3 linked regions of the Lepisosteus oculatus genome follow. The protein of the gene in region 1 purifies or fractionates together with the protein of each later gene. This does not show direct contact. Links are inferred from orthologs where the notes say so. Each region holds a gene or a part of one and is shown on either strand. Other genes may lie near its edges.

Evidence for each region.
Region 2: the proteins of sap18 (region 1) and acin1b fractionate together in Homo sapiens (co-fractionation; 7 studies listed by BioGRID and IntAct, with this or other methods). This does not show direct contact. The link is inferred for Lepisosteus oculatus from reciprocal best matches to the Homo sapiens genes SAP18 and ACIN1.
Region 3: the proteins of sap18 (region 1) and srsf1a purify together in Homo sapiens (co-immunoprecipitation; 4 studies listed by BioGRID and IntAct, with this or other methods). This does not show direct contact. The link is inferred for Lepisosteus oculatus from reciprocal best matches to the Homo sapiens genes SAP18 and SRSF1.

What each region holds. Positions count from the first base shown.
Region 1 is NC_090710.1:31,920,554-31,931,722, reverse strand, and holds sap18 (histone deacetylase complex subunit SAP18), read right to left. Parts: upstream 3,283-11,169; 5' UTR 3,222-3,282; coding exon 3,150-3,221; intron 2,626-3,149; coding exon 2,516-2,625; intron 1,105-2,515; coding exon 982-1,104; intron 881-981; coding exon 724-880; 3' UTR 497-723; downstream 1-496. Other genes in the region: serine/threonine-protein kinase LATS2, read left to right, coding at 10,139-10,453. UniProt on the Homo sapiens protein: Component of the SIN3-repressing complex. Enhances the ability of SIN3-HDAC1-mediated transcriptional repression. When tethered to the promoter, it can direct the formation of a repressive complex to core histone proteins.
Region 2 is NC_090699.1:13,178,075-13,188,530, forward strand, and holds the start of acin1b (apoptotic chromatin condensation inducer 1b), read right to left. Parts: upstream 4,581-10,456; 5' UTR 4,487-4,580; coding exon 4,349-4,486; intron 1,183-4,348; exon of another isoform or gene 1,071-1,182; intron 611-1,070; coding exon 545-610; intron 1-544.
Region 3 is NC_090721.1:9,630,208-9,640,856, forward strand, and holds the start of srsf1a (serine/arginine-rich splicing factor 1), read right to left. Parts: upstream 5,030-10,649; 5' UTR 4,608-5,029; coding exon 4,414-4,607; intron 2,963-4,413; coding exon 2,729-2,962; intron 2,283-2,728; coding exon 2,159-2,282; intron 934-2,158; coding exon 739-933; 3' UTR 1-738. Other genes in the region: pigs (GPI transamidase component PIG-S), read right to left, coding at 8,510-8,785, 9,378-9,588, 10,502-10,602. UniProt on the Homo sapiens protein: Plays a role in preventing exon skipping, ensuring the accuracy of splicing and regulating alternative splicing.

The sequences.
Region 1 (11,169 bases):
AATGTTTAAGTGTGTGTCTTTCACTTGGAGGTTGTCACAATGTGCAAATAAGGGTAAAATTCTCATTGAAGGGTGTTATTGGGGTAACTTTCAAAAGGGTGTGAAGATTTTAGAGACTGTTTGTATACACACACAGGGTGGGTAAAATACTATCAGCTTTTTAAAGTGATCTTAAATCTTCACTTGCAATTTTAAGCATGAAAAACTCCAGAACAAACACCCTCATTGTTAACATCCCCTCTAACTTTTCCCCCTGAATTAAATCTGGGTATTTAAGTTTGGAGGGGTTAACAGAGACCAAGGCACAGTGTGATCAACCAGACCAGCCATCTAGCATGATCAAGGACGAATAGCAGTATAACACCAAACCAGGTTCCTCAAGGGTCTAATCTCAAAGTTTTAATTCCTGTAAATCTGTTACTCCACACCTGTGACCCAGTCACGCACGCTCACACAAACCCCACCTTTAAAAAAACGTCATACTCCCCACACGAGATTTCTTTCAGAAAAAACACCTTCACAGAAATCGTTTAATTGAATTACCAAATCCAACGCAAATTAAAATTCACGAAAAAATGAAAGGAGCTTTCAAACTAAATTTCCTTAAACGCTTCCAGAAAAAAAAAGCTACAGCGACATTAATTAAATCAGGAAAGGCAGGAAAAAAAGGCTTTAATAGGAAACACAGGGGATATAAAACGTAGCGGCCGCAGTCCCCGGCGGTCAGTAGGGCCTCATGCGTCCAGGCAGGGGCGGCGCTCTGTTCGGCGGCGTTATGGCAATGTCTAGGTAGTCTCCTATCTGGAACCGCTGCGATTGCAGAGTCATGGAATCGTCTGCTCCTTTCCGCCCGGACACCGTGTTCCCAATGTCTTTAACTCTACAGGACCAAGGGCAGATCATCTTAGGTGTCACAGTTCAAACACAGCCGCTGCGCGTTTAAGCTCGGCCCGTAACGGCGGTATTTCTCAAGGTATTTACCTGTAGCCTTGTCTTTTAGGGTCAGGGTACACGATGGCAAAGCCAAAATGCGTGCCTTTCTTCCGAGCTTCTGGATAGACTTCTTTCACCAAGCTGGTCAGTTCCTTCAAGGTAGCATCCATCCTATTTGAGACAATATTACTCTTTAAAGTACCCAAGACGGAAGCTAAGACTCAGCACTTAACTTCAGCTCCAACAGCAGGAGAACATTTGAAAAATAAACATAACTACTCCATATTTGGCTAATGTCACCTCAAGACAATAAATTTGCACTTTCAGCACAGCTTAAGGTTTTCCACGGTCGTGGGAGGGGAGCTGGCAGCAGATTCTGCAAGATCATTCTTGTAGTTTTTGAAAAGTTTGGCGTTCCGGTTGAATTCGACCTGGCATATTAAAACAAGCAGGCCAACAGAGTTACATTTGTCATTTCATTGCTTGTGATGAAAGCATTGGCCTTCTGAGTACCACCACAACTATGCCATATCCAATGGCGCGTGTTGATAGCGCAGGGCCCACGTCTCTCGGATCAGGGCTCTGCAACAGGTCTGGGCACCTGCAGAGGTGAACAGCTTTGTTCTTCTGGTCAGTTAGTCTGTCCAGCTGGTCCTGGAGAGCCCCAGTACTGCTCAACTTCTTTTTAAAGACTGTAAGACAACACTGACCAAGCAAGTAATCTGTTCAATTAACAGAGACCCAGCAGCTCTATCACCCTTTAACTCACAGCTGGCAACCCAGTGGAGCTCAGCAGGTGTGAGCCTGGCGAATACCTGGATGCGAGACCTCCTGGGAAAGCTCAGGTTGCTGCTGAAGAGGTGTTAGTAGGGGGCGCTCACCCTGCGTTCTGTGTGGGTCTGTGACGGGGACACCAAACTGTAAATGGGCACCGTCTTTCGGATGAGACAATAAACCGAGGTCCTGACTCTCCGTGGTCATTTAAAATCCAAGGGTGTTTCTCAAAAAGAGTAGGGGTGTTACCACAATGTCTTGATCAAATTTCCCCCTGGTCTTTACCAGTCATGGCTTCCCAATAAGCCTCATCACTCTGCTCTCCTCCCTACTGAGAGCTGGTGTGTGGGGAGCAGCCTGGAGCACTCTGGCTGCCACCACATCATCCATGTGGTGGTGGAGGGGATCCCCATTACCTGCAAAGCACTGAGTACAGTGTCCAGAAAAGAGCTATATAGGTGTAAGGATATCATTAATATAACTAATCCCTGAAATCTGAGAAGTACATAGATTTTAGTCCTAAAATATCTCTAAATTAATTTAACGGTGCAGTGGCTCTATGGCTCAGGATCTGTGCCTGTGGCTGGAAGGTTGCTGGTTCAAATCCCGCAGCCGGCAGAGGAATCCTACTCCGTTGGGCCCCCGAGCAAGGCCCTTAACCCCAGCTGCTCCAGGGGTGGTTACAGTGGAATTGGTCCATATCTTCAGAAACTGCTTATTTTATGATGACCTATAAAACAACTTGCTGGGGTGGGGCTCCCCCGGCCCAAGCAGGGAGCCCCGTGGTGTGAAGTGTCATCAGACCTACCAGGTATAGATTTGCAGCTCGCTGGAGGGCACGTTTCCCCTGGCGAACTCGTCCATTCTGTGGTGTCTGCCGTTGTTCGTGGTGAACACCCGCAGCAGCAGCGGGCAAGTCTGCAAACAAAACAACAAAAATAAGTACCTAGCTTTTTTCAGTTGCGGGAAACCGATAGGTGGTCTCAAGCGTGGTATCTGCTCACCATCGTGTTTCACAAAAGATGCATTACAAACTTGCTAGCTACATCTACATTCATCGCGTTGTAAGTAAATAAATGACCTTTAAGTATATTTTGCTCACTAAGGAAAGAAAGTGAGAAAAACATATACTTTATCGCCGTTTTCTCAACTCGTATTGCTTCGCATCGCACACGTTTGGCAGCAATTAGGAAGAGAAAGTAAATCGTTTTAACTGAAAACTCAATAAGTCTCACTGTCTTTGAGGGAGACACTGTACAACTACCCAAAATGCGAAGAAACACGAAATGAAAACACAGTTTTACACAGCACATACCTACTGAAGCGTTTAATGGAGACCAACACAACACCGTTCCACACATTTCCAGAAAACAAAATACAAGGCACCACTCAAACCGTGCGTGCGCATCTTCGATAGACAAAAACGGCTTAACACAACTCACCTTTTCTCTATCGACGGGCTTTTCGGGTTCTTTCTTGATTTCTTCCTGAGTGACTCGAGATTCAACAGCCATTTTCCCAGAAAGCGCCCCCGCGTCTTCACGCCGACCCCGTACAAACACAAGTATAACTTCCGGTTCAACCCACGGGTCGTGATGACGTAACAGGATACGTAGCCCGCGAATGAGCTTAAAGGCTATGGAGCCAATCAAAATGCGACTTCTCCGTATCGTATAATGACTAAAATAGGCGCACACCCTTTTTATTCTGAAGTGCTTAGGTTAAAGGTGATTATTTCTAACAGTAAGAACATGACAGCTGTGCGGACCTTATATAATAATAACAATAATAATAATAATAATAATAATAATAATAATTGCTTACACTTATATAGCGCTTTTCTGGACACTCCACTCAAAGTGCTTTACAGGTAATGGGGATCCCCTCCACCACCACCAGTGTGCAGCCCCACCTGGATGATGCGACAGCAGCCATAGTGCGCCAGAACACTCACCACACACCAGCTATCAGTGGGGAGGAGAGCAGAGTAATGTAGCCAATTCATAGATAGGGATTATTAGGAGGCCATGATTGGTAAGGGCCGATTGGAAATTTTGGCCAGGACACCGGGGTTACACCCCTACTCTTTTCGAGAAATGCCCTGGGATTTTTAATGACCACAGAGAGTCAGGACCTTGACTATACTGGGGCATTAAGACCCACATGGACCACAGGGTGAGCGCCCCCTGTTGGCCCCACTAACACCTCTTCCAGCAGCAACCTTAGTTTTTCCCAAGAGTTTTTCCTTATCTTTACTTATCTTGTTAAATCTTTTTTGTAAAGTGCAGTTGTATTACAGTATGTACCATTGAAGATGTTATTAATATGTCATATTGTTGGTGTTTCCATTATTTTGGTAGTTGCGTGTATTTGACTTTGCTTCTTTAAAGAGAAGGCTAAATAAGATTCCCAGGTCAATTTGCTTTTAATAACCAAACAAGCCTCCTTTTGCCCGTATCCATTCTGTTCTTGTGTTTATTTTACCTGTGTCGAGACTTTCAATGTGTGCTTTCAAGATATTCCAGCCCAGGCCATTCCTTAGGGCTTGTGTGCTACAGTAGGTGTCCGCTTTCCTGCTTCTGTGAAAAATACGTCCATCTCTTCAGTTTTGAACGGAAGGTTTTTACTGGCTGAGATCATCCAAGAGTCACTCATTAAAAAAAAATGATATTAAGCAATCCGTAGATGAAGCAATTCAACACTCTGTGGAACTGATAGAGGTATTTATTATGTTTTATTCAGTACTTCAACATTTTGAATTTTATTAATGCACTGAGACACTCTGGTCTGTAGAGAGATAAGAAAAGAATATCTGCTCTGCTTTTTTTTCCTTTCCATACTGTACCTCTGGTTTACAAAGAGGGAGGAAACATATTTACAGTCAGACCCCCCCCCCCCCCCGACTGTACTGCGGCTCTTTGACTGTAACTCCTGACGGGCTGAGTCTGCGAACCTGTGTCGTGTTTCCCAGTGGGACCTCATAACGGGTCCACGGGTCACAAAGATAATAGCTCACTTTCTAACACAACGCGGTCTTCCAGCTGATCCGCATCACTACCAGGAGATATAATCCGACGTAATTCAGGCGCAAACACGTCTGTCACACTGAATTCCTCAGCTCTCCTTGTAGCTGTACATCTAGCAAGATCTGCTCATGCAACGCGTGACGAACCGGATCGCAGCGCTATTAAAAGGAGCTGAGAGACACTGGGGACTGTGGTACAGAGGGTCAGTGGGAAGAAATTATAAACAACAAAACTGTCACTTGGAAGAAGCTGTCACAAACTAGCCGATTCAGAAGAGGCTGTCCTGGTGACCAGGCTATTCAAATCTAATCTGGATGAGTTAACTCAATGGTGTTTAAAGCGCTCTGTGCGTGAATTAATATGCGTGATAATTATGTGGATGTTTGGACGTGTTTTAAAACAATACAAAACGGTTCGTCCTTAGATTTACTGTCCAGAGCGCAATGACAGCATTGAAACAAGGAAGCCGTTTGTCGGTTTCCCTCGATGTTAGTCGGTTGCTTTGCACTCTAACACGCTTTTCCAGCGGCACATTTTCACTCCTTAGTGCTCTGGGCCGCTTAGATCTGAAACAATAAGCACCCCTCCAGCCTCAGTAACCGGAGCCTAGCGACTGTTTCATCCTGTCCTGCGTTATTGATGCTTCTTCTTACGCGTTATGTTGGCTAAAATGGCAGGAAATTAACGCGGGTCTTGAGGTGATCTTCACCAACCTGCCCCTCGTTCACTTTTGGGGTTGCCGCTCCTAGTGCATGTTTGTTTTTCCTTCATTTATTACGTCTAAGACTGGGTTTTAATTGTACTTTGGCTACTGGGGCCTTGTACGTTTAACCAAATGTACAGTCACCTGTAGCTATGAACTGAACGTTTAGTTATCTGTAGCTGACGCGATTTCTATAGCCAACAACTGATTTTTAAGATCTGCTCAGGCTGAATAACCCCCCGAAGAAGGCTCAACAGCCGAAACGTTGTGTTGTCTTCCTTCTCTTTTCAGCCGGGAATGAACCTAAAACTTGTTCCTTTGCGGCTCAATAACGACTTCAGCCTAAACACTGGGATTTGTGTGTGTGTGTGGGGGGGGGTGACAAAACAGAAAGACACACATTCGGGCGTGTTGCCAGTCGGCTTCCTGGCTTCCCGGGGCGCCCTGCGCGTCTGTGGGGTTTTTGGTTGTTTTGTTTTTTTTTTTCTTCTTGGGTCACGAAGCCGCGCTCGAGCGCTAGAAGCGCCCCCCAGTCCGCGAGCGCGCGGGCCGCTGACGTGATCCGGGGGCGTCACGTGCTCCCCCTGGAATGCGAGCGATGCAGAAAGTGTCCAACTGAGCACAGCGTCCTAATTCAGCCCACTGTAGGGAGAAAATGGAGCCTCATACCGGCGTGAGCCCCGGCCGCAGGCACTGAGCTGAGCTGGGTGGCTGAAGGACAGCCCCGTTCACGATAGCAGCAGCAGCAGCAGATAAGGTAACTTTCCCCTTCTCCTGATGCATTTCTGTTTGTTTGTTTGTTTGTTTGTTTTTAGAGAGTTTACCGTTACTTTTTCTTACAATGCACGCGTTTTGCTGTTGCGAGTGGTTGCTATGCTCCCGCGTCTGGGAAAGGTGCAACTTTTCGATTTTTTTTCGGCGGTTCGATGATTTTTTTTTTAATTTTAAAAATCGTAAATGTATTTCTGTTCTCGACAGCCGATGTGGGGTGCGGGTAGGGGCGTTCGTCTTCAACTGAAGGCGCGCACGCACGCACATGCCAACATATATAGAAGGGGGGGGGTGGCCGATGAAACTTCAAAGTCTCCCTAAGGTGGAATGTCGGGCTCCTTCTCCGGACCTGCGTTCCAGTCACTCCAATCAGGACCAGATCGCAAACTTTCAGCCCCAACTCGAACAGGCTCTGTGAAGTTTTTTTTCTTAACTTTTTTTTTTTTGGAGGGGGGAACGACGTTAACTAGGGATCTGCCATCTAAATAAAAGACACGCGGCTTGCAGAAGGGGCTGGGGAGGCAGCCAGCGCTCCGAAGGACCGAGACGAGCCCGTGAGACGATGGTAAGGTGTCGGAGGGGTTTTCATCGTTTTGTCGAGAAGGAGGTGGGGAGAAGAGAGCACAGCCAGTAATGATTATGTTTTGTCATATGCAAGTCGAAGTTCCGAAAAACGGCAGCAGAGCTGAGTGCCTAAAACGTTTTCAATGTGCCGATTTTTTTTTCTTGGCAGAGAAATTAAACGAGGGGGCAGATCGTGTAATTCCCCGTCTGTCGGTGCCCGTGGACGTGTATATACTCTGTATCGGTTGATGGGTTCAGCGCAGCGTCTGCTTCTGTCTTGTACATTTTTAACATTTTTCGGGTTGCTACAAAGCTGACACTGTTACCACGGTTTAAATGGGCACCGTCGTCTCTTGCATGTGTTTCCCAGCGAGCTGCTGCACATATCGTGCCTGCCGCCCGCTGCCCCTGTCTCTCGATTCTCATGAACTCCGCCGTCTGTATGACAGACTTCAAAACCCGTTTACAGTCTGGTCGGTATCCGAGTGTAAGTCTCTCGAAAAGCAGATGTTACAGGATACAGCTGGGTGTTGTTTTAAGAGGCACAAAGATGAACTTGACCGTCCCACCACTGTGTGTGAACTGTGAACTGGGAGGTTGTGAAACATTGTTGTCGCGTCCATGTCCTTCCCAGCGGCCACGCTGTTTGTGTTGTTGATTGAACTGCAGAGTCGGGTTCAATTCGACTGCGGTGGCCGGACACCTCCGCGTTCGTTATCCTTTCCATTATTGTGCGATATTGCACTTATTGCAAAAAGGTATCGATAGACGTCTATAAAAGCTCAGCGTTTTACTTCAGAAGCATCCCTGTAATTTATCAGATTGATCAGGGTTTTTTTTTAATTTAGTCGCATTAGAGGTAGTGTAAGCTGCAGGCAGCCGCATGGTTTTCAGGAGAGGTGTGTCTTATATTTATTATAAAGACGTGTCAAGATCTCCTGCCCACGTTCCGAACTTTTTAAACAAGTTGCATATTATTTTCTTTCTCCGTTATACAGAACACGCCTTTTTTTTCTGGAAATGATGCTGGAGATGGAAGAAATCCAGAATGTTCCTTACCAATGACATTTTAGGGTGTTTAAAATGTTAGCACGCTGCAGTATGAGGTAGTTTTATCGCGCACCTAATGTAGGAACAACACAGCTGTCCAGGAGGCGCTGCTGCAGAAGCGTGCTGGGAAGCAGCGGGTTAGAAGGGGCTCTCACGGCGTCTCGCAGGGCGGTGCAGGTGGTGCTGCCGAGTCCCCCAGATCCCTCCCCCCCCAGGAGGGGTGATGGGGTGTGGCCACGGCTGCAGACCTGACCGGCGGCGGCCGGGCAGTCGGTCCGTGACGGGCCCTCGGCTTTAGTGTTGCCGGGGCTCTGTGACAACGTGCGCGGCCAGCAGCTCCATCCCCCTGCAGCTCCCAGCTGGCAGCCCCACTGGAGCCCAGCAGTGTGAGCCTGGCCAGTACCTGGATGGGAGACTCCGGGGAAAAACTAAGGCTGCTGCTGGAAGAGGTGTGAGTGGGGCCAGCAGGGGGCGCTCACCCTGCGGTCTGTGTGGGTCCTAATGCCCCAGTATCGTGATGGGGACACTGTACTGTAAAAAGCCACTGTCCTTCGGGTGAGACGTTAAACTGAGGTCCTGACTCTGTGGTCATTAAAAGTCCCAGAGTGTTTCTCACAAAGAGTAGGGATGTCTCCCCCCGGTGTCCAGGCCAAATTTCCCCCGGCCTTTACCAATCATGGCCTCCTAATAATCCCCCTCTCTGAACTGGCTTCATCACTCTGCTCTCCTCCCCACTGAGAGCTGGTGTGTGGGGAGCGTACTGGTGCATCATCCAGGAGGGGCTGCACACTGGTGGGGGTGGAGGGGATCCCCATGACCTGTAAAGCGCTTTGAGTGGAGAGTCCAGAAAAGCGCTGTAGAAGTGTGAGGAGCTATGAATTATTATTGTCCATCGGAGTGGTGTCCCCTCAGTCCCTCTGGGGACATGGGCAGTGGCAGTGGAGCTCCCCTGCAGAGCCTGGGGGAGCCTGTGCCTTCGGGTCACCCTCCCACAGGGTCCGCAGGACTCGGCTGGTATGTGGGGGGGCAGGTCCGTCCCCGGGGCCCAGCGCCCGGTCCTGCCGGGTCAGGCTCCGGGTCGGTGCGGACCTCTGACAACGGGTGGACCGCCCAGGCTGTTATCTGCTCTGGGGTCTTTGAAATAACGTAGCCATCACCTGGGTGTGACCCCGTGCTCCCGCCTTCGTCCACGTGAGATTTCATTAGCGATCAAGATGAAGCAGTTGGAGATTTTTACCTCTAACGAGCGTGAGGGGAGGGGAGTTGATTTTCACAAAATCGGATGCGTCTCGCCTCTCGGTTAGCTCCGCTGACGAACAGACTTCGCGTGACAAGCGAAGGGTCCACCCCCGGCGCCCGTCAGCAGGATACAGTATGTCTGGGTTCCACGTTCGGGTCTTGAGTGGAGTTGTTTGTTGTTAACTGCTGTCATTGGGAGCCTGTTTTTTTTGCACAGCTGTTGGCTACCCAGGCCCCTGGCTTTCTCGATGCTGCCTGTATTAATCAGGTGGACCTTCAGCCTCCTCAGAGTCTTAACAGAACCAGAGTGTGTGCAGTTTCAGCAGACGTATAACATTTACACGTAGGCGTTGCGCGTAAAGGACTATACGAACAAATCGGACAGTATTACACAGAAGAAGAAGAAGAAATCTGTGTCCGTTTCAGATGACTGCGTGTCCTGCCACCGCTAAGATTTAGCCCGTTAAGGTAGAGGAAGACATGTTGACAAAACTGGTGTTTATTACCTGTGGGGGGGGAAATGTGCATTTTTGGGGGATCTTGTGTGTTCAGATCATGGGAATAGACATTTCGCTAAAGCTGCAGAGATGCCCATTGTCTCCCGCTGTGTGTTGGGGGGGCGCAGACAGGAAAAGGGAAGGGGGTCAGAGTTGTTGGTGTGGCTGTCAAATGGCGCACGGCACCCCGCTGATCCCACTTCCTCTATCCAGTTCGGGGTGGCGGGGGAGCTGGAGCCTATCCCAGCAGGCAGCGGTGCACCCCGGACGGGATGCCAGTCCAGCCCTGGCCCTGCTTCGGCCCGGTCGCGCGCGGCTCTGCTGACGCTTCTCCCCCCGTCTGTCTTCCCAGAGGCCCCGTGGGGATGGAGCGGTCAGCGGGCACGGCGCCTTCTCTCTCAGGCTGCAGGACGGCGGGGAGCCCGGTCCTCTGAGGCCCCACTAAAGCCTGCGTCCGGACAGCGCGGCGGGGCGGGCTCTGGGCGGCCCGTCCGTTGATGTTGTGGGGCGGGGAGGAGGACTGAGAGCAGCGTCCGGCGCGGGCCAAGCGGAGAGGAGCCGGGGGGAGGGCGGGAGCGGCCATGAGGCCGAAGACGTTCCCCGCCACCCCGTACGCGGGCAACACGCGGCAGCGCCTGCAGGAGATCAAGGAGGGCCTGAAGCAGCCGGCCAAGCTGGTGAGCCAGGCGCTGCAGGGGGGCCGCGGCGCCGAGGGCGGCCGGCCGCCGCCGCAGCAGCACCACCCCCGCGCGCCCCAGAAGTTCGGCAACTACCAGACCGCCCTGCGCGAGATCCGGCGGTCGCTACTGCCCTTCGCCAACGACTCGGGCTCCTCGCCAGGCCCGGAGGTCAACCGGCAGATGCTGCAGGAGCTCGTCAACGCCGGGTGCGACCAGGTACCACAGCGGGGGGCTTCTCTCCTGACTCTGGGGGGCTCCTCTTCCTCGCCTGCCGCTCCGCGCGGCGCGGGCGCCTGACTCGCGGGGCGCCGGCGGTGGGAGGCGGGCGGAGACGCTCGGTGGGGTCCGCAGGGTTTGCAGGAGGCAGGGGCGCGAGGCGTGCGAGAGCCCCGTGTGTTTCCTGAAGCAGCTCCAGGGGCGGCCGGGGTCTTGTCATGTGAGGGTGGCCAGGGGTCTCGCTCAGGACGGGTGTGAGGGGAGGTCTCGGCTGCCCAGTTTGACTGTTATTAATTGCTTCAGAAAGTACGAAGACACCCTTTGAGCTCGAGGCTGCATACGGCGTGGCAAACAAAAATCGACTCTGTTTTCAAAGTAGCTGTGAGGTTTTGAATCATCTGTACATCAGCGTTGACCAGCCCTAGTCCTGCAGGCGTCCGGGTTACTTTGATTCAGCCCGGGACGGACAGGGGTGGCCCTGGAGAGAGCTGGGCTCTGTTCTCCATGCTCTGTGTGTATGTGGCAGCGACACGCCTCCTTTGAAAAGTCACTGGGCAGCCGTGGCATCTCCGCTAGATCCCAGTTTAGTCAAATGTTGAGCCCTCTAAATACAGGCTGTTTTTTTGTCATCATGAAATGAAGCGCAGCTATTCCAAAATATCGTGGCTGTGATTACTCCGCTGCACCAGTGCCACCGGCGCCGCCTCGGGGGAGGG
Region 2 (10,456 bases), on another chromosome or scaffold:
GCAACAGGCGGACACGGGTAACCAGAAACACAGCCGTCTGCTCCCAGAGCAACAGGCGGACACGGGTAACCAGAAACACACCTGGTCTGCTCCCAGAGCAACAGGCGGACACGGGTAACCAGAAACACAGGCATCTGCTCCTAGAGCAACAGGCGGACACGGGTAACCAGAAACACACCTGGTCTGCTCCCAGAGCAACAGGCGGACACGGGTAACCAGAAACACAGGCGTCTGCTCCTAGAGCAACAGGCGGACACGGGTAACCAGAAACACACCTGGTCTGCTCCCAGAGCAACAGGCGGACACGGGTAACCAGAAACACACCTGGTCTGCTCCCAGAGCAACAGGCGGACACGGGTAACCAGAAACACACCTGGTCTGCTCCCAGAGCAACAGGCGGACACGGGTAACCAGAAACAGTGTCTGCACAGCACATCTACACCAAGTGTGGAAAAGTGTCCACCAAATCCGTCTGTCTCAGCATGTCTGTATAGCACGTTCCAGCAAGGTGAGGAACACGCATCTTTCTAGATAGATGTCTTACCTGGGAGTTGGGCTGTAGCCCACTGTGAGGGGTTGAGTGCTTCTGCAAATTTTCTAACATCAGAGCCTGAAACAACATAAACACATAGATTAGACATGAACCACAATCACCAGCACTGGACACACTGCTGTCTCTCTCAACCAGCCCCACGCACTATACTGAAGACTGCAGCCTAGACACTACAGCCCCTTGGTGTTCAGGATACACACTGCTAATCATACAGTCCAGTCCAGCCTGGAGAGTCTCACACTGCTCTGTCAGTGTCAGTGGAGTCTGATTATAATCTCAGTGAATCACTAATCAAGATCACAGTCCAGTCAGTCCAGTCCAGCCTGGAGAGTCTCACACTGCTCTGTCAGTGTCAGTGGAGTCTGATTATAATCTCAGTTAATCTCTAATCAAGATCACAGTCCAGTCAGTCCATCCTCAGACTCAGGGATAATCTGAAAGTCAAGGTAACAGGCTGGTCTCAGTCAGGAAGCCCAGGAGAGAGAAATTAACAGAGGCTGGCAGGCTGGCCCAGTGATCTCCTCAGAGCACACAGACAATGTGAGAAGGAGAGTTTAACTCACCTACACCCAGACAGACACACAGCCAGCCTGGTGTATCAGTATTAGCATGGTAACTCATCACTGGAGCAGCAGGCCAGGACACCAGTTCTACCAGAGCCCCCTCTCATCCTCTCACAGCTCACATCGATACCACTAATGTCAGTCAGACACTGGCTCAGACAGCTGTCAGTGTCAATGAGTCTGATTATAATCTCAGTGAATCACTAATCAAGATCACAGTCCAGTCAGTCCAGTCCAGTCTGGAGTGTCTCACACTGCTCTGTCAGTGGAGTCTGATTATAATCTCAGTTAATCACTATTCAAAACAATGCAACTAATTAGAGCAGAATCAAACACAGCACACTACAGTAAGCAAATACCATGCATTAACAAGGAATACATCAGAGGTGTCCCCTGATCAAAGGTCAATAAAGGATGGATAAGCAACACCCCTACTCTTACTGACAGTGTCCTGGGATCTGTACTGACCAGCAGTCAGGACACCCCTACTCTTACTGACAGTGTCCTGGGATCTGGACTGACCAGCAGTCAGGACACCCCTACTCTTACTGACAGAGTCCTGGGATCTGAACTGACCAGTCAGGACACCCCTACTCTTACTGACAGTGTCCTGGGATCTGGACTGACCAGCAGTCAGGACACCCCTACTCTTACTGACAGTGTCCTGGGATCTGGACTGACCAGCAGTCAGGACACCCCTACTCTTACTGACAGTGTCCTGGGATCTGTACTGACCAGCAGTCAGGACACCCCTACTCTTACTGACAGTGTCCTGGGATCTGGACTGACCAGTCAGGACACCCCTACTCTTACTGACAGTGTCCTGGGATCTGAACTGACCAGTCAGGACACCCCTACTCTTACTGACAGTGTCCTGGGATCTGAACTGACCAGTCAGGACACCCCTACTCTTACTGACAGTGTCCTGGGATCTGGACTGACCAGTCAGGACACCCCTACTCTTACTGACAGTGTCCTGGGGTCTGTACTGACCAGTCAGGACACCCCTACTCTTACTGACAGTGTCCTGGGATCTGTACTGACCAGTCAGGACACCCCTACTCTTACTGACAGTGTCCTGGGATCTGGACTGACCAGTCAGGACACCCCTACTCTTACTGACAGTGTCCTGGGATCTGGACTGACCAGCAGTCAGGACACCCCTAGACTTACCGACAGTGTCCTGGGATCTGTACTGACCAGTCAGGACACCCCTACTCTTACTGACAGTGTCCTGGGATCTGGACTGACCAGCAGTCAGGACACCCCTACTCTTACTGACAGTGTCCTGGGATCTGGACTGACCAGCAGTCAGGACACCCCTACTCTTACTGACAGTGTCCTGGGATCTGTACTGACCAGCAGTCAGGACACCCCTACTCTTACTGACAGTGTCCTGGGATCTGGACTGACCAGTCAGGACACCCCTACTCTTACTGACAGTGTCCTGGGATCTGAACTGACCAGTCAGGACACCCCTACTCTTACTGACAGTGTCCTGGGATCTGAACTGACCAGTCAGGACACCCCTACTCTTACTGACAGTGTCCTGGGATCTGGACTGACCAGTCAGGACACCCCTACTCTTACTGACAGTGTCCTGGGGTCTGTACTGACCAGTCAGGACACCCCTACTCTTACTGACAGTGTCCTGGGATCTGTACTGACCAGTCAGGACACCCCTACTCTTACTGACAGTGTCCTGGGATCTGGACTGACCAGTCAGGACACCCCTACTCTTACTGACAGTGTCCTGGGATCTGGACTGACCAGTCGGGACAGCCCTACTCTTACTGACAGTGTCCTGGGATCTGTACTGACCAGTCAGGACACCCCTACTCTTACTGACAGTGTCCTGGGATCTGGACTGACCAGTCAGGACACCCCTACTCTTACTGACAGTGTCCTGGGATCTGTACTGACCAGTCAGGACACCCCTACTCTTACTGACAGTGTCCTGGGATCTGAACTGACCAGTCAGGACACCCCTACTCTTACTGACAGTGTCCTGGGATCTGGACTGACCAGCAGTCAGGACACCCCTACTCTTACTGACAGTGTCCTGGGATCTGTACTGACCAGTCAGGACACCTCTACTCTTACTGACAGTGTCCTGGGATCTGTACTGACCAGTCAGGACACCCCTACTCTTACTGACAGTGTCCTGGGATCTGGACTGACACTTACTGAGCACGTCCTACACACACAGGGAGGTGAACCAATGACAGCACATGCACAAACACACACAGCATCGCACACAGACAGTGCAGTGCAGTCACAGCTCCCGGCCAGCGAGAGAGAAACTCCACAGTGCAGCAGCAGTCTGATGGCACAGAAAAGCACAACCGGGCTTCTCGGCACACCTGATCGGGGTCCTGGCCAGGGGCGTCAAACTTCAACAACTCAAACACACAGACCCCCCAGCCTGATTTGTCGACACCTCTGAAAATCACAACCTTCGTGTTTTTGCACAGAGCGTCGCGTCTTTAATTGAAACCAATCATCGCGAGTGGCCGACGCGCGCGCTCACGTGGGTAGCGGGGGGATCCCAACAGGCTCGTAATTTCGCAGAGAGGGAGCCCCCCGACGCCCCCCGTCAAGAGCGCCGGGTTTCCAACCAGCGCGACTCCGGCCGCTGGCACTCGCTGACAGCTAATCCCCGGGAACGAGCCTCGTCCACGTCACACCGCCAGAAAAACACAAACTGTAAAAGCGCGCGACATCCCCGCTCCTTCAGTCCTCCGGCCTCAACCCCCCCCCCCCTGCGAGCGCGAGCAAGAGAGCGCGCACGCACCCGGGAGAAACGGCCCCCCTCGCTCGCTCTCCGTGAACGCGCACAGACACACAAAGCGCGGGCTCGTCGACTTCTACTCAGAAAAAAAACTAACCGACACACCGAGCCGCGCCGACTCCCGTAAACACACACACACACTCGCCCCTCGCTCCCTCTCGGCCTCCTCGGCGCGGCTCAACTTTCCAGCCGCCGCTCCGCTCGCAGCCTGCAGGCCCGGCGCCCTCGCCGCGCCCCCGGCCCCCGGGCGCCGGGCCTGGGCCTCCCGCCCGCCCGCGCCCTCGCTCCCTCGCTCCCGCCCGCCCGCCCGGGCCGGGGGGCGGCCGCCGCCGCGGACTCCAACCCGAGGGCTCGCTTCTTCGTGCTCCGGGAGCCTGCTGCCGCCCCCCCCTGCCGCCCCAGTCCCGTCCGAGCCCCCCGCGGAACCGCGGCCAAACTCACCCCTTTGAGCCGCTTGATGAGCGCGTTCTTCTGCCCGCTCTTGGGGAGGCCTCGCTGCTCCAGGGCGGCCTTCAGGTCCGCCACCCGGAGCGAGTGAAGCGGCTTCCCATCCAACGTAACGTCTTCGAGCTCCGCCATCTTTGCTTTTCCCCCCTCGCTCTTGCGCTCGCTCGCTCTCTCTCTCCCCGGCTCGGCCGCTGCAACGCCTTCCCCCCCGCTGACGTCAGAGCTCGGCTTTCTCCGGAGCCGGAGAGGCCCGAAGAGCAGGAGCGGGAGGGGGATCGAACGCGAGGCTCAGTCGTCGGTAATCTCCGGAGAGAGCAGGCCGAGGCAACTTCGGCAATCTCCGGAGGGGGGCCGGCCGAGGCTACTTCGGCAATCTCCGGACAGCACTCGTCAGCTACCCCTGCAGCTCACAGGAGTTCGAAGGTCGAGGCGTCGTCGGTCATCTGCGGACAAATGATTCGTCATTACTGACTCAAAAACAACTTGCACGTTGTTATATACAGAAAGTCGGGGAAGACACCCGTGTCTGAGCAGTTTGAAATAGACGTCAGGGCGAATCTGCAGAGTATTTTTAAAAGTGAGAACATGAAAGCCGCGCTGGCCTTTATCTTGATTTATTTCCCTTGTGTAATCGATTTTCGGTCAAGTTCAGGTCTGTTGCAGTAGGTGCCCCTGGCGATGGTGTTGTAGGGCCTATGGGTTCGTGCAGGACAGAGGACGAGCAGAGACGAGACAGGGGAACAAGCACCAGCCTATATCCCCCTGTACAACAACACCACCCACAGCGCTTACACACGCATTAGGGGACACGGACACAGGTGCAGGGTGGTAACTCGCTAAAAAAGGCTCCAGAGGAACCCGCCCGACACCCGAAAAAGCTCCGCAGCCGAAACGTTGTGTTTCTTGTCTCCTCTTTCCAGCAGGGAGTAAACCTGTACTTGTTCAGTGGAAACAGAGCTCCCGGGAGAGAGGAGAGAGGAGGAGAGAGAGGAGGGGGGAGAGAGGGGAGAGAGGGGAGAGGACAGTGTCCTCCTGTCCTGTGCTGGAGTGGACAGCAGGGTCAGGGGACAGTGTTCTCCTGTCCTGTGCTGGAGTGGACAGTAGGATCAGGGGACAGTGTCCTCCTGTCCTGTGCTGGAGTGGACAGCAGGGTCAGGGGACAGTGTCCTGTCCTGTGCTGGGGTGGACAGCAGGGCCAGGGGTCAGTGTCCTCCTGTTGTGTGCTGGAGTGGACAGCAGAGTCAGAGGACAGAGTTTTCCTGTCCTGTGCTGGTGTGGACAGCAGGGTCAGGGGATAGTGTCCTCCTGTTGTGTGCTGGAGTGGACAGCAGGGTCAGGGGACAGAGTTCTCCTGTCTTGTGCTTGGGTGGACAGCAGGGTCAGGGAAAAGTGTCCTCCTGTCCTGTGCTGGAGTGGACAGCAGGGTCAGGGGACAGTGTCCACCAGGTGCTCCCAGCAGGACTCTCTGGGAGTCTCAGGACAAAGCCAGTCTTTACAGCATCACCCACACAGAGCCCAGGCCAGCGCTGGGCCCTGAGGTCAGAGAGAGGGTGAGACTGCAGAGGGGTGTTACTGTCCCTCCCGGAGACACAGAGGCATCTCTCCCAGCGGAGGGGCAGAGACACTGTCTCTGCTGGGCTTGACCTGAAGCTTGAGGGTGACCTGAAGCCAGGGAGACAGCTAAATATTTACCATGATAATAAAAAAATAAAATGAGGTTCTATGTTATTATTCTTCAAAGAAGAAATTACGACAATTAAGGGCATAAATATACAGACATTGTGATATAACAATACAAAAACATCATACAAGTCAGCAGAACAGGACATCAGCCACAACACTACCAACCTGATTAACATTACAAGAGGGGTCACATCGTTGAACTAGTTTATATGACACAAGACGTGTGTAGGACTGTTTCAGGATGTTTTTGAAGAATCTGAGTACAGTCTGAATGAATGGATGGATTCTTGTATTACAGATTACATTAAACACAGACGAATCTGTATGCCAGGTGGCCATTGTCTGGTGACATGAATAACAACAGCAGCCGTACCCCCCTGCAGCTCACACACAGCCCACTGGGGCTCAGGGTGAGCCTGGCCAGTACCTGGGAGAGGTGTTAGTGGGGCCAGCAGGGGGCGCTCACCCTGCGGTCTCTGGGGGTCCTAATGCCCCAGGACAGTGACGGGGACACTAGATACTTTATTGATCCCGTGAGGGAAACTGCACTCCAACAGCAGCTTAACACAGACAACACAGCAACAGTGTAACGAATGATACAATAATAATAATAATAATAATAATACAATACATACTATACAATCAGTACAGTGAGAAGTGCACTAAAAGAGTACCTCACAGTCCAGGACACACAAAGAACAAACTGGAACAGAAAGATCGTATTGCACATATGAATCTAAATATAGATGTAAATATAAATATAAATGTATTGCACGGGTCCATGGCATATATTGCACAAAAAAACGGTTGTGAACGGGAAAAGAATCCTGGGAAAATGAGGGGATCCCCAGTACCTGTAAAGCTCTTTGACTGGAGTGTCCAGAAAAGCTCTATATAAGTGTAATTATTATTATTATTATTATTTACAGCCGTATCCCCCTACTGCTCACTGACAGCCCACTGGAGCTCAGCAGTGTGAGCCTGGCCAGTACCTGGGTGGGAGACCCAGTGGGGCCAGTAGGGGGTGCTCACCCTGCAGTCTGTGGGGGTCCTAATGCCCCAGGACAGTGACGGGGACACTAGACTGTAAACAAGGCGCCGTCCTTCAGATGAGACGTAAAACTGAGGTCCTGCCTCTGTGGTCAGTCAAGACCCCAGGGTGTCTCTCAGAAAGAGTAGGGGTGTGACCCCAGTGTCCTGGACAGACTCCCCCTGGTCTTTACCAGTCATGGCCTCCTGATCACCCCCCTCTCTGAACTGGCCTCATCACTCTGCTCTCCTCCCCACTGAGAGCTGGAGTGTGTGAGCGGACTGGGGGGGTGGAGGGGGTCCCCAGTACTGGACAGCGCCGGGGGAGGGGTGGAGGGTCCAGAAAGGCGCTATAGAGGTGTCAGGAATTCCTTCTGAGCGTCTTCAATATCAGACCCTCAGGGGCTCCAGTCCCAGCGGCTTGCAGGAATGCCCTGGGGGGGACATGGCAGGAAGAGTCGGAAAGGCTTTCCTCCGGGCCGGAAGAGTAACCTTCACAGGTCTCGGGCCGACAGGGTCCGATCACCGCTCTCACGAGGAGGAGGAGGAGGAGGGTGCTCTCGGCCAGCGGGGCCAGGTACGGGTGCTCGTATGCCCCAGGGCACTTTCACTCTGAGACGTGCAAAAAGAGGGGTGAACACCCCCCCCCCCGATCCTCAACACAGGGCTGAGCACACGGCTGTGCTCTCAACTCACAGATCTCTTTAGTGTCCCTGTACAATCAAGATCAGATCTCTTTCCTGTCCCTGTACAATCAAGATCAGATCTCTTTACTGTCCCTGTACAATCAAGATCAGATCTCTTTCCTGTCCCTGTACGATCAAGATCAGATCTCTTTCCTGTCCCTGTACAATCAAGATCAGATCTCTTTACTGGCCCTGTACAATCAAGATCAGATCTCTTTAGTGTCCCTGTACAATCAAGATCAGGTCTCTTTACTGTCCCTGTACAATCAAGATCAGATCTCTTTACTGTCTCTGTACGATCAAGATCAGATCTCTTTAGTGTCCCTGTACAATCAAGATCAGATCTCTTTCCTGTCCCTGTACAATCAAGATCAGATCTCTTTAGTGTCCCTGTACAATCAAGATCAGATCTCTTTAGTGTCCCTGTACAATCAAGATCAGATCTCTTTACTGTCCCTATACAATCAAGATCAGATCTCTTTACTGTCCCTGTACAATCAAGATCAGATCTCTTTACTGTCTCTGTACGATCAAGATCAGATCTCTTTAGTGTCCCTGTACAATCAAGATCAGATCTCTTTCCTGTCCCTTTACAATCAAGATCAGATCTCTTTCCTGTCCCTGTACAATCAAGATCAGATCTCTTTAGTGTCTTTGTACAATCAAGATCAGATCTCTTTACTGGCCCTGTACAATCAAGATCAGATCTCTTTCCTGTCTCTGTACAGTCTCTTTCATCAGGAATGTGTCTTTTCACAGACCCCAGCTTGCTCTCCAGGAGACACACAGACAGGGAGAGAAGCTGGGGGTCAGAGCGCAGGGTCGGCCATTTATACAGCACCCCTGGAGCAGCTGGGGTTCAGGGCCTCGCTCAGGGGCCCAGCGGAGTGAGGAATAGGATTTCTCTGCCAGCCCCGGGATTCGAACCGGCAACCTCCCAGCCACAGGCACAGCTCCTGAGCCCCAGAGGAGGCCAAACACCCCAATCAGCGATCAGCCGCTCATTAATTCAGAGATCTGAATGAATTCAAGACCATTCAGAGAGCTACATACGACTACAGAGTAAAATCAGAGTCATATTATCACGGCGCAGATCCTGAGCCCCAGAGCCAGCGCACTCCGGGGTGGTGCAGTGGAGCCCCAGGACAGGACAGAAAGGCCGTACAGGGGGTTCTGAGGTCCGCGCAGAAAATCACCGGGCCCGAGCCGCCCTCCGTCGAGCGGATAGATCTCCCCCGCTGGCACAGCCGGGCTCGGGCTGCGCTCCGGGACCCAAGGGCTGGGGTGGGTTTGGGAAGCTGTTCTGGACGGACTTGCAGTGTTTTGTGTGCAGGCAGTTAAAGGTGTTTTTAGATTGAGGGATTTTGATATTTGATTGTGCTGTTTAATAAGCATTTATTTATAGTACATTTATCATAGTCATTCTGGGTAAATGTCACATTCATCAAGCAAAATGGTCCAATAACACTCCCCCTTTCAGTACTTTTGAGGTGGAGTTGAAACGAAATTCTATTAAAAAAACTGAGAAATGCTACAGCAAGGAAAACGTTTGATATCTGTCCAAAAATCATCCGAACACATCATTGACTTCATTACCTCTGGCGGTTAACTGTTTTTTTTTCTGTTTGTGTTTTTTTCTCTTGTGCCTGTCTGTTTCCGATCCTCTGGTTGTGTCTGTAAAATTCTTTATACGTTTAATAATAAAAAAAGAGCAGAGCTCTCTTCTCAAGCGGTTTGTGCTGCGTCTGCAGATCCGCGTCGGAATTAAACCGCTACTGGCGCAAACTTTTACCAACGCTAGGTGGCGCTGTCGGCACGTCTCTCCTGCGACATCAGCAGGGGGATCGACTCTGTAGCTGGTGATGATGACAACAGCGGCAGCGATGATTATTATTATTATTATTTCGGCTACTAAAACACTGCTCTGGCCTGTCTACACAACAGAACACAAATCCGGTCGTGATCCGGAAACAGAGAAGCTCCTGCGCGTCCACAGCGCGAGTTGACGGAAAGACCCGAGCGGAAGGGATCGCCCCTCGGCTCTTTCCGGTCGCTCTCGTCGAGACCAGCCCTTTCCGGTTTCCGTTTAAAACCGGAAGCTGTGGTGTTTTCCTTCCTTCACAGACGGGCGAGTAACAACAATAACAACACACACACCACAGACCCAGGCAAACTCCGAGAGTTGTGTACCGACAGCGGCGGCAAGGAAAGGCCCAGGGACCGAACCGGGGGTGTCTGTGTAACCGTGGTGCCTGAAGAATATCGGGAGGACATGGACTGAGACGTAAATAAACACGCGTGATCGCGGTTCACATTTCGGGAACAGGAGGCAAAGAGACATTTCTTTATTCCTTTACGGTGCTACGGTAAGAGCACTTCTCACGCCCTGTCAATTATTATTAGTAATGTTATTATTGAGGGCTTCTCTGTGATCTCCTCTCTCTCACTGTGTCTCCTGTCCTGTTGTGTGTTTATTACTGAGGGCTTCTCTACGATCTCCTATCTCTCACTCACTGTGTCTCCTGTCCTGTTGTGTGTGTGTATTACCGAGGGATTCTCTGTGATCTCCTCTCTCTCTCACTGTGTCTCCTGTCCTGTTGTGTGTGTGTATTACTGAGGGATTCTCTGTGATCTCCTCTCTCTCTCACTGTGTCTCCTGTCCTGTTGTGTGTGTGTATTACTGAGGGATTCTCTGTGATCTCCT
Region 3 (10,649 bases), on another chromosome or scaffold:
ATAAAATGGCAAAGCACAACTAAAGTTTTAAAAAAGGTTGAAGTGTCAGTCATGGCATTCTGCGACTAAAAACCAAGTACCATGGTGCTGTCTATTCAAACTCAATACTGCCAAGTTCTTAAAAGTGACTGAAGCACTTGGTGTCATACCATTGCCTCCATTATTGATCTGACTGCTCCTCCTCCTCCAATTAGACACGCTTTGATTATCCTACTATGAATGAATTGTGCTTCACAATCCTTTATTCCAAAGCATTCTTTAATCCTTCGCTTCAGATGTCTATAGAAAGACACATGAAAAGGTAAAAAATTTTTTACAATGACTCCCGCTGTTCCACAAAAGCAGGTTAAGCCCTCCCACCCCCACCCCCCGCCCAAACAAGCAAGCAGTAAACCCCACCTTTGACAAAATGGTGGAAGACAAAGCAATACCAATTTTGTTTTCGGCTCCAAGACCCCAGACTTTCAATTTGTAAAAAAAAAAACAGGCTATACAGTGTTTAAAATACACTTCAGGCAGGGCACACAGGGAAAATGTCGACTGCGGAGTGGGAGGACTGGGAAGGACAGGACGGGGACATGTCCACAGACCAGTTTTTCTTTTATGAAGAACTAGGTCACCAGCAAAACCAATTTAATATCCAAAAACCGTAGCAAACTTTAATAAAACAGGGAAAGAAAATTCTGTACGACAACGAAGGACCCCGAGAGCGGGGGCGCGCGCGGGGCGCGGGCGGGCCTAGGTGCGGGAGCGGGAGCGGCTGTGGCGCGGCGAGTAGCGCGGCGATCCTCGGCTGCGCCGCGGCGAGTAGCTGCGGCTGCGGCTGCGGCTGTTGCTGCGGCTCCGGCTGCGGCTGCGGCTCCGGGAGCGGGAGCGTCCGTAGCTGGGGCTCCGGGGGCCGTCGACTTTCACACGGATGTACGCGGTCTCTCCCTGGTGGACACGGAGAGAACTGGCTCATGAAAAAAACACCCCGGGGGAAGCCGTCCACAGACACTTACCATCTCTGTCTTTCCTGTCAGCCTGTCCCCTTCCATCTACTACAAACAACTGGGTTTTCATGTCAGGCCCCGCTACGGGTTTGCACGCGCCATGATTCCCCCTCTGACAAGAATCCCTGCATCCGTCAGAAGACACTGCTAAACCAGAACAGGTTTACAGGTTTAACGGTTTTTTTAAAAACACGGCCTTTGCCCAAATCAACGGGGGGATTATTAAGGCTAAGACACCCCAGTAAGACATTGTCAACATGAAAGGCAATTAGGCTGCATCCCAATATGTAGTCCCCAACCTTTCACTGCTGAGGCATCTGGGATACGTGAACCCATTAGTGCCTTTCAGTGGGCAGCACGAGCTGCACACACTTGAATCCCAGGGTTTTACAAGCCGCCCTGCGTTAAGCCACGACCTCTTGACTTCTGCCTAAAGGCAAATTATAATCAACCCTCTCTGGATACGGAGAAAGGGAAGCCAGGTGGGGATCATTCTAACTCCCCGTTTAAAGCTGAGATCTACTCCCTCATTAGCACAAGTATGTGCCCTGGTAAGCAAGACCAAAGGAGAAGCAGACCAACAGCCCTCTAATATAGGGGCGGTATTTTTTTTTGCTGTGCACAAAATACTAGACCAGGATAAAATGCTTAATTTTAAAAGGTGTTTAAGCTGCGAATAGATTCGCTGGTCTGACCAAAAGTTGGGAATCTTCTGCAATGCAAGAGGTAACTGTCAAAGTAGCAGTTTCTGTGCACACATTCATGCAGACTATAAGATCAATGAGACACCTTCTGCTTCAGGGAAAATGAAACATGTGGGAAATCACATAAATTAGATATTTCAGGAAATACAAGTCTTAGAAAGCCGTTTCATTAGTTTCAAAAAGTGCCCAACATACATACCTCTTTAGAATAGGCTAATGGGCAAAAATGAGTCAGTTAAATCTTTTAAACCACAGGGCCAGTATTCCAGCATGGCATTCTGAGCTTGGCACCAAGCCTAATGACACTTTAAACTACAGGCGACATTCATTGGGACATCTCACTTACAAGAAGGTCCCAGTAAATGTCATTAAATCCAGCTCATTTGCTTACCTTAAAAGAAAAATCCAACATTTATGAACTTTGTATCCAATGCAGGTCCAGTTAGAAAACCTCAAACCTACCTCGTGTGATCTGAATTTAGTGTTATCCAGTTTTCGTACAGCGTAGGTCATATCTTCTTTGCGAACAAACTCCACAACACCAGTTCCATCTCGGAAAACGTCAGCATAACATACGAGAGAATCACTGCCACTTGGGAAGACCTCTACAAGAGAAGATGAGCCTAGCAGAGAATTGCAGACCTGATCAAAAGAAGCAACTGGAAGCAAAGCAGAAGAACCCAGATCAATACAAGATGAAAGATGCATTTGTAACTGACCACCCACAAAAAAACACTCACTGCATCCAGGTGGATGCTGCAAATTGGTGGTGGTGGAGAGGAGTCCCCATTACCTGTAAAGCGCTTTGAGTGGAGTGTTCAGAAAAGCACTATATAAGTGTAAGCAATTATTACTATTACTGCCCAATGACTAATTGTAACTGTTGAAATGATTTCACAGCAGTTAGAAATTCACAATATTGGGAAATATTTCCAAATGTGAACTTCTCTCTCTTGATAAAAAGATCATTCATGACTAGTATACTGAAGAATTGATAAGATAGAATCATTTGTTGCATTAAGAGTAACAGACTCCATTTGTACTTCATGCATAGAGATTTGCAATATCCAGTAGTGAGGCTTACCTGAAACTATGACTCTGTACTCCGATCGCCTAGAGGGGGGGCCATATCGGCCTCTGGGGGCTCCAATCCCCCCACCTCCGCCCCCTCTACCTGTGCCCCTCCCACTTCTGGGGAACTCAACTCGAAGGCGGTATCCATCATAGTCATAGCCATCCCGTCCGTATACTGCGTCCTCAGCATCCCTGAAAACAGCACCACACGCAGGACTTGAAGCTATTTCAGAAACCAGGGTGTACAAGAAGGAAAGACAGTGGATTTGTTTGCTGGTTAGCAAAGCTTAATTTAAACAAATATGCTTCCCCACAACAGCAGGAAGGCACCCTACAGTTTGCCAGGGGAAGACACGTGTATACAGGCGAACACCAGCTGCAGAAAGTACCTCGAGTATATTCGCATGTCTTTCAGTCTCATCCGCGTTTCCGGCGAGTCGTCAGCAGGTCCCATATCGCGATAAACCAAACCGCACAGCACGTTTTCATAACCGCGTGATATTATGAATTCGAAACTGTTCCATTGGCACTACTATCATTTGAACGTGCCCCCATGCACGAATAAATGTTCATTTTTCTGGGCAGCTCAGGAATAAAAGACACCAGGTGAGCAAAGTCGACGCATGAACTGTTTCAGACAAAGATGGGGTCAGGAATGAGGTGGGGGCAAACGCAAACTACAATAAAGATAAAGCATTTGTCGGTGAATGCCAGTATTCCAAATATTTCACCGCGATTGACAGAATTAGACACAGAAATCATAAGAAGGCTCCGAGCGCCGCCAGCTTCCTCCACTACAACAAGGCTGGCGGCGGTCGTCACATGGCGAGAAAATGAGCGCCAAACCACCACAATAGGGGAAACATCCTGCATGCTTGAAAAGTAGCAGGTGAAGCATGGTTTCACGGCGCTGTGAACTAGTATTTCCCCCCCCCATCTGGTGTTTAATCTCCCGAAAGTTAGGGGAAACCCCGAGGTTATTTTAATTATCGACCCCGTCCCTCATCTCCAGCGGAAGGAAACAAAAAAAAGTTTAACAGACGACAATTTGTATTTACAACGCTGCAACGGCGATCGAAAAGTTGCATCACTGCTTCAGCATATAAACCGGGGCCAAGAGAAAACTTTTTACAATCAACAAAGGAACAAAGACTCTGGAGGGTTTTGGGACCCTCGCCGCGTCGCGGGAGAAGCCGGCTAGAAGCTTATATCAGCACCATCGCAGTTTTTATAGGGCCTCATCGAAATTCCGAGTGATCTGCTCAGATAAGCTTGACCAACGCTCGGTACAGCTCCACGTAGCCAGGAACACGCGTGTGCGCCCTCGCACAGACCAGGCAATCGACTTCCAGCGCCCCGGCCACAGGGTACGACACCGCATGACCTGTAAGAGCCAGGCGCACGCTCAACGGGTCCTTAGCTCTCGACTTGCACAAGACTCCGCGCCCAATCGATGGAGAAAAAACAAAAAGGCATAACAAACGCCCCCCGAGCACAAACGAGGCAGGGCTCCGGGTGCCCCGACCACCAGGATCGTGCAGACACGGGACCCACCGCGCGCGCGCCTCCCCCTAGGCCCGCGCCGCGCAGGCCGCGCGTGCTGCCCACGGCGCCTCTCCCTCCTCCCTGCCCGGCTCCCTCACCTGGGATCCTCAAACTCCACGAAGGCGAACGGCGGTCCTCCGCGCCGGTTTTTCAGGTCGATATCCCGGATGGCCCCGTACTTGTAAAAAACGTCCTCGATGTCCTTGGTGCGGATATCTGGGGGCAGGTTCCCCACGTAGATCCGACAATCGTTATTCCCAGCAGGGCCCCGAATCACACCACCGCCAGACATCGTGCGAGGAAACCGCTCAACCGCTACTACCGCGACTTAAAACAAAAAAAATGACAAACGGCTAGCAGCCTGCCCGCTCACGGCTCACGTGCTGCAAACTTGATGCCCCGTTTATCTTCTAGCGTGCGCCTCGGTCTCCACGCACTCACTCCGCTCCCTGCCTTCTTCAAAATGGCGCCGGCTGTCCCAGTCGTTTGAACCGTCTTGCGCTGGCGGAGGAACACAACCGACCGAGCCCGCTCCGCGCTCTCCGGCTTGGAAGTGCACCTCCGACCTATAAAATAATCCCCTGTTTACCACTTCGCTGCGCCAGCGTGGAAAATAAAATTAAAACACCGAGTACGTTAAATGCCCACTAGGGAAAATAAATGTATAAAAGGCTTTGGCTTTTTCGATATTTTTCTTCCGCTGCTGCAAATAAAATAACGGAGGAACCTGTAGCGAACCCTGAACTTTTATGCTGGGGGGCCACACGCTACAGTGACGTCGTTTAGGTCGCGTCGCCCGAAGCCCCTCCTGCGCCAGTTTCAAATTACTATGAGTTTCTGAAAACTGAGAAAATGTGTTTTTTTTTCTATTATAAAATAGCGACTTTATTTATCGAAGGCAATGTACAATCAACAGACCTCATAATTTCAAATTGTGCAAAACCTACATAAAGTAGGTTTGAAAAAATAAGAGATTTCGATAGTATTACAATGCCTAATGCAAAAAAACAAAAAGATAAAAGACACCCTACAATATCAGTGTATCCAAGAACGGTTTAGTGTTGAGAAATCAGATTTCTAGGACCAGACGCCCAGAAACAGACATTACAGATAAATAGCTTGTTAGTCTTAAGTGTGCTGTGCATCACTCGCTTTTAAAAACTTGTTTGAATGAGACGCTTTTCGAAAGATGACTCCCAAATCTGAAATCGAAATGCAAACTATTTATTGCCTTAATCGGCGATAGCAATGAAAATGAAAGATTGAAAGCAGTTCCACAGATTAAGTGTTTTCAAGAATGTGGATTTTATTCACAGCTGAACTGGACGGGGGGGTAACCGTGTCCGTTAGTCTCTTTGGACAGCAGATAAAACCCCTCAAGGGCATCCAGGCTCCTGGCTTCTGTATAGACAAAGCACCGGCCACTCCGTGCGGGAACAGTCGGCCATTTTCTCTTTGTGTGCTCTCTTTTTAAAACTTTGTGGAATAACCGACAGTATTTGAAATAAGTTTGCTTGACAAACAAACAGAAATTTAAACACGATCACCCTCTTCACTGAGCCCATAGCAGAGTTATTGGTTGCTAAGCAGCAACAAACCAACACAAACATCAGCCTTAGACAACACAAAGAGCAGGGACACTTTCCCTGAACTGGAGAGGACTCACAAGTCACACTTCATCTGTGTTTGTTTTTATTTATTTTGATTCACAGAGATTCTGGTGCGACTCTTTTTGCCCCTCCAAAAATAAAAAGTACAAAACAATAACAACAACAACAAAAAAAACACGTTCAGGTCAAAGTTAGTAGCAGGCATGGGCCTTAACCTCACTCTGCAACACTCCATTACGTTGAAAACAAGGATTTCAGCACGAAATTTAAAAACAGCTCACTTCAAGCCTACGTCAGTGGCAGAGTGTATGGATTTAAGTTTGAAATTGGCCACTGAATGGAAAAGCCTGATTTTAATTCAGTCAACACTTGTATTTTTTTGTCGCAAGGGGCCCTGAGTCATTACCTTCCCATTTTAAAAAGGGAGCAGTAATGTAACAAATTGAAAACGTCTGATTAATATCTTAAAAATCTGAAACGCGTGTAGGGCCTTTTGCAGTTTCTCGGCTTCATGCACTTGGACACAGGCATGGGGACCGGGGCGACAGCCCGGGGCATCTGCTGTGTGAAACAGGCTGGCAGCAGGGTGCTCGTGTCTCGCCTGTGAGCCTGAGAGGCGCCACATTCCAGGCACACAACAGCACAACGGGGATAAGGGGCAATTCACCCCACCCCACCTCCCCACAACTCTTTTTCCCAAAAAGCCTGCACCCCTCCTCTTTTCCCAAGGCAGTTTCGGGAATATTGTCAGCTCCTGGGAATGGAAATACATTCCTGGTTTCTAGAGAGGATGAAGCCAGTTAAGAGGTCATTCTCTGCAAGTTACCAGTACAACCCCATATACAATTGTAAGCAGCATACCTTTGCAGCCTACGCATGCTGACGCAGCTACCCACCTGAACTACTACCTGTGCTGTATGCAGGCATGGATTTAAAGCCTGTTTCAACCACTATCGTGTACAGTCTTTCTTGGGTAACCTCTGTAGAAACATGCAGGTTTCAAGCAGTTTGTTTGTGCCTATACACTTTATTTACTTTCTGTTTAATGTCTAGGCTTTGATTTATTGCTGGGAACTGTAACTCTTTTGCCAAGGAACACCACAGGTGTGATATTTAAACTTTCTGCTCTAGGAAAGGTTTGTTGTGCCAACGAAGTCCCAGAATTCATCTCGGAGCTACACTGACATTCCCTTTCCCGAGAGTCTCTGTTTTCTAGTTTAGAAATAAAAATAATTGATCTTTGATAGGAAATCCATTTCATTCTCATGCAACAACACTGGCCGTGAGGTAATTCTAATTTCTACATTTAAATTCTTAATGTTATAATACAAAGAGCCGTGTTCATGTAGGGGGTTATTATCAAGGTGTTAAAGAATCTTAAAATATACCATCAACACAATAAATAAAATAGTTTTCACACAGATTTCTCTCTCACCCACTGTGCTTCATACAGCATCTGCTTAACTGTTCTCTTAATAGATAAATCCAACAATCAAGAATGTTGAAGAAATACCCCACAAGAAAACAGGTTCTAAGAAACACAAACAACAAATACTCAAGAAAACAACACAACCACACGCATACATATACTGATCCAGACAGAAATAGCATGGCATCCAGATCAATCACATTCGTACTGTGTTTACTGCCTCCACGTTCAACACATCCTGCCGGGAAAACCATCCGACAGAGGAGAGCGTTCCGACACCGAGTCCATCGCGGATCCTTTGAGCTGCAGGAGCGAATGAACAGACACGTCGAGCACCCAAAACGTCATAACGAGAAAGTCTGCGATCCATGAACAGCAGACTCGAAAATAATCCAGTGATGAGCATATTTCAGTGCTGGGCCCAATGCCGGTAGAAAGCCAATCCCCACAACCCTTCTGAAACCAGTGCGCTGGTCTCAACGTAGAGCAGACACCTTAGTAATTTACTGTATACAAAGGAACAGATAAAAGTTTATTCCATGTTAAAAGGGAAAGAGACAACATTTTGGCTGTGCAGCCTTCTACACTTTTCCATTCAGCACGGAATAAACCCTTTGCCGTTCTTTTACAGCCTACGCATGCTGACGTACCTACTCCAATTACTGCATGCCTAATGACAGGCAGGCTAGCTGCTTGCTTTGTGACGCATATTTCTATTCATGGTGCCAAGGGGACCGAGAAGTAGGACTTGAACCTTCCTGATCCAGGTGCGTGCACCGTTTGAAGAACGTTTCAAGAAGGTTTCGGGATGCAGTAGGTCTTACGCCCTGACAAAGCACTACCATGCCGGTCCTCTTCAGGGGAAGCACACACACACCCTCATTCTGTACAGTTCAGGCAGGGAGCTGCGTCAGCACGCGTGGGCTGCAAAGGAACAAGCAGAGGTTTATTCCCTGCTGAAAAGAGAAGAAGAAGAGAAACGCAACGTTTCGGCTGTGGAGCCCTCTTCAAGCATCAGAAGAAACGCTGCGTTTTTCTTCTCCGTTCAGCACAAAATAAACCTGGACTTGTTCCTTGCACACTCCGTAGATGCATGTATAGAAAACCAGAGGAGAGAGGTCAAGGGGGTCCACTTGAGGCCGAGCGGGGCCCCTCTCAGTCCCTCTTTGGACGCTGCGCGCGGCTCTGCCGGTACTCCTTGCCGATCTTGAGCAGCGACAGCAGGATGGGCACGGACATGGGCAGGAAGAGGGGGATGTAGATGGCGAACTTCTGGTCGTCGGGGAAGTAGAGGAGGTGCAGCAGGGAGGGGTCGAAGAAGGCTCTCTCCGAGGACAGGATGGCCTCCTTGCTGGACTGGAAGGCGAAGGCCAGGTTCCCGGCCTCCAGCTCGGCCACGGCCAGCTGCAGCGAGCTCACCGCGCTGTACACCTGCAAGCAGAGGAGGACCTCGCTCAGATCACGTCTTCCTCAACCAAGTGGAACAGCCAGCGGCTGCCGAAAGAATCCCACTTAACCTACACTTCAGTCAGGAGACTGGGGCAAGGAAGGAGTGCAATCTGTCCAGCAGGGGGTGCAAACCTGATCCATCTGTCAGTGTGGTGAAAAATCACTAAAAAAGTGGCCCTTTTCTGGACACTCCACTCAAAGTGCTTTACAGGTAATGGGGATCCCCTCCACCTCCACCAGTGTGCAGCCCCACCTGGATGATGCACCAGTACTCTCCCCACACACCAGCTCTCAGTGGGGAGGAGAGCAGAGTGATGAAGCCAGTTCAGAGATGGGGATTATTAGGAGGCCATGATTGGTAAAGGCCAGGGGGGAATTTGGCCCGGACATCGAGGTAACACCCCTACTCTTTTCAAGAAACATCCTAGGAGTGTGCAAGCTCCACACAGAAGGTCCAGTACTCGAACCCAGGATCCAGGAGCCGTGTGGCAGCAGAGCAAAGAGCCATGCAGGCATGCTGTGCCATGAGGTGTGGGTTCGGATTTTCTTCAATGACCGGCGGGGTCACGCTCACCTGCTCCGCGATGTGGTCGTCGATGACGATGTTGCCGATCTCGTCCAGCAGCTGGGCCAGCGAGGTGAGGGTGGTGGTGGCGGTGGCGATGTTCTCGACGGCGCGGGCCCACAGCAGGCGGTCCAGCTCCCAGTCCGTCAGCCCCTTGTTGCCGGGGCTCTGAAGCAGGTAGCCGGGGGGGGCGTGGACCTGCTGCACCCCCAGCAGCAGCCTGCGGGGACAGGGACGCGGCGCATCAGAGGCAGGAGCGACACACCCACGCCCTACCCCCAGGCAGCATCGTCATCAAGCCGAGACCTGCGACTCACCCTACCCATAAGCACCCACTCAGCTCAGCCAGACCCGCCTGTCCGTCTGTCACAACGCTGGCCCTCGGCAGCTCAGATCACAGACAGGCGAGCGTGACCGAGCGGTCTGGGTGTGGAACTGTGGGGTGTGCGCTGAGCAGGCGTCACCTCGATCATCACGGGGGAAGTACACAGTAGGTTCTCAACACCTGCGAGGATTCGGTGCAGAGAACTGTCACAAATAGCCAGATTTGCATCTAACCAAATTCACCCTTATACCGTTTCATAATGTACCACAGTATATGGTATGTATGTTTAAAAGCCATACGTAAGCATCCCTTATATGGTATTGAAAGCACTAATGCATTGGCTTTAAGTTAGTTTAAATAACGCCCAACAACTAAAAGAAACAACAGTAATCACCAACGTATAGTAATCAGCTAAAATAAACAACAGGAATCTTTGTTCTCCGTTCAGCCTGCACATCAACTGTCTTCATGAGTAACACCTGTTTCACTGTAATGAAACAGGCAGCAGGACTGTCACTCACACTGCTGACACAGAACCTGGAGTGTTCATTATGATATGAAGACCAGAGCGCCCCGAGATGTGGGTCTTCGGGCAGGGGGCCCGAGAGGCTCGGACACTAGCTGGAGTGGTCTCGCCACCCCCCCAAGTCTGCTGCCCCGCTGATCTGAAAGCTGTGCTTCACAGCCTTCGGCTCGCTCCGCTCTCCTTCCACGCCCGATTGAATTGGGAATACGCGAATCGGCGGGCTGGGGAGACCCCCAACTGCACATGGGCCCTGAACCGTGGCGAGAGGGAGCCCCGACTCACCGCAGCTGTGCCAGGAAGACGCCCATCACGCGCACCATGTCGATGTCGACGTGCACTGGGAACTGGGGCTCCTCCACCTGCTGCTCACGCACGTTGTACACCTGGAGGGAGACAAGAGCACAGCTGGGCAGATGTGCACACAGCGCAG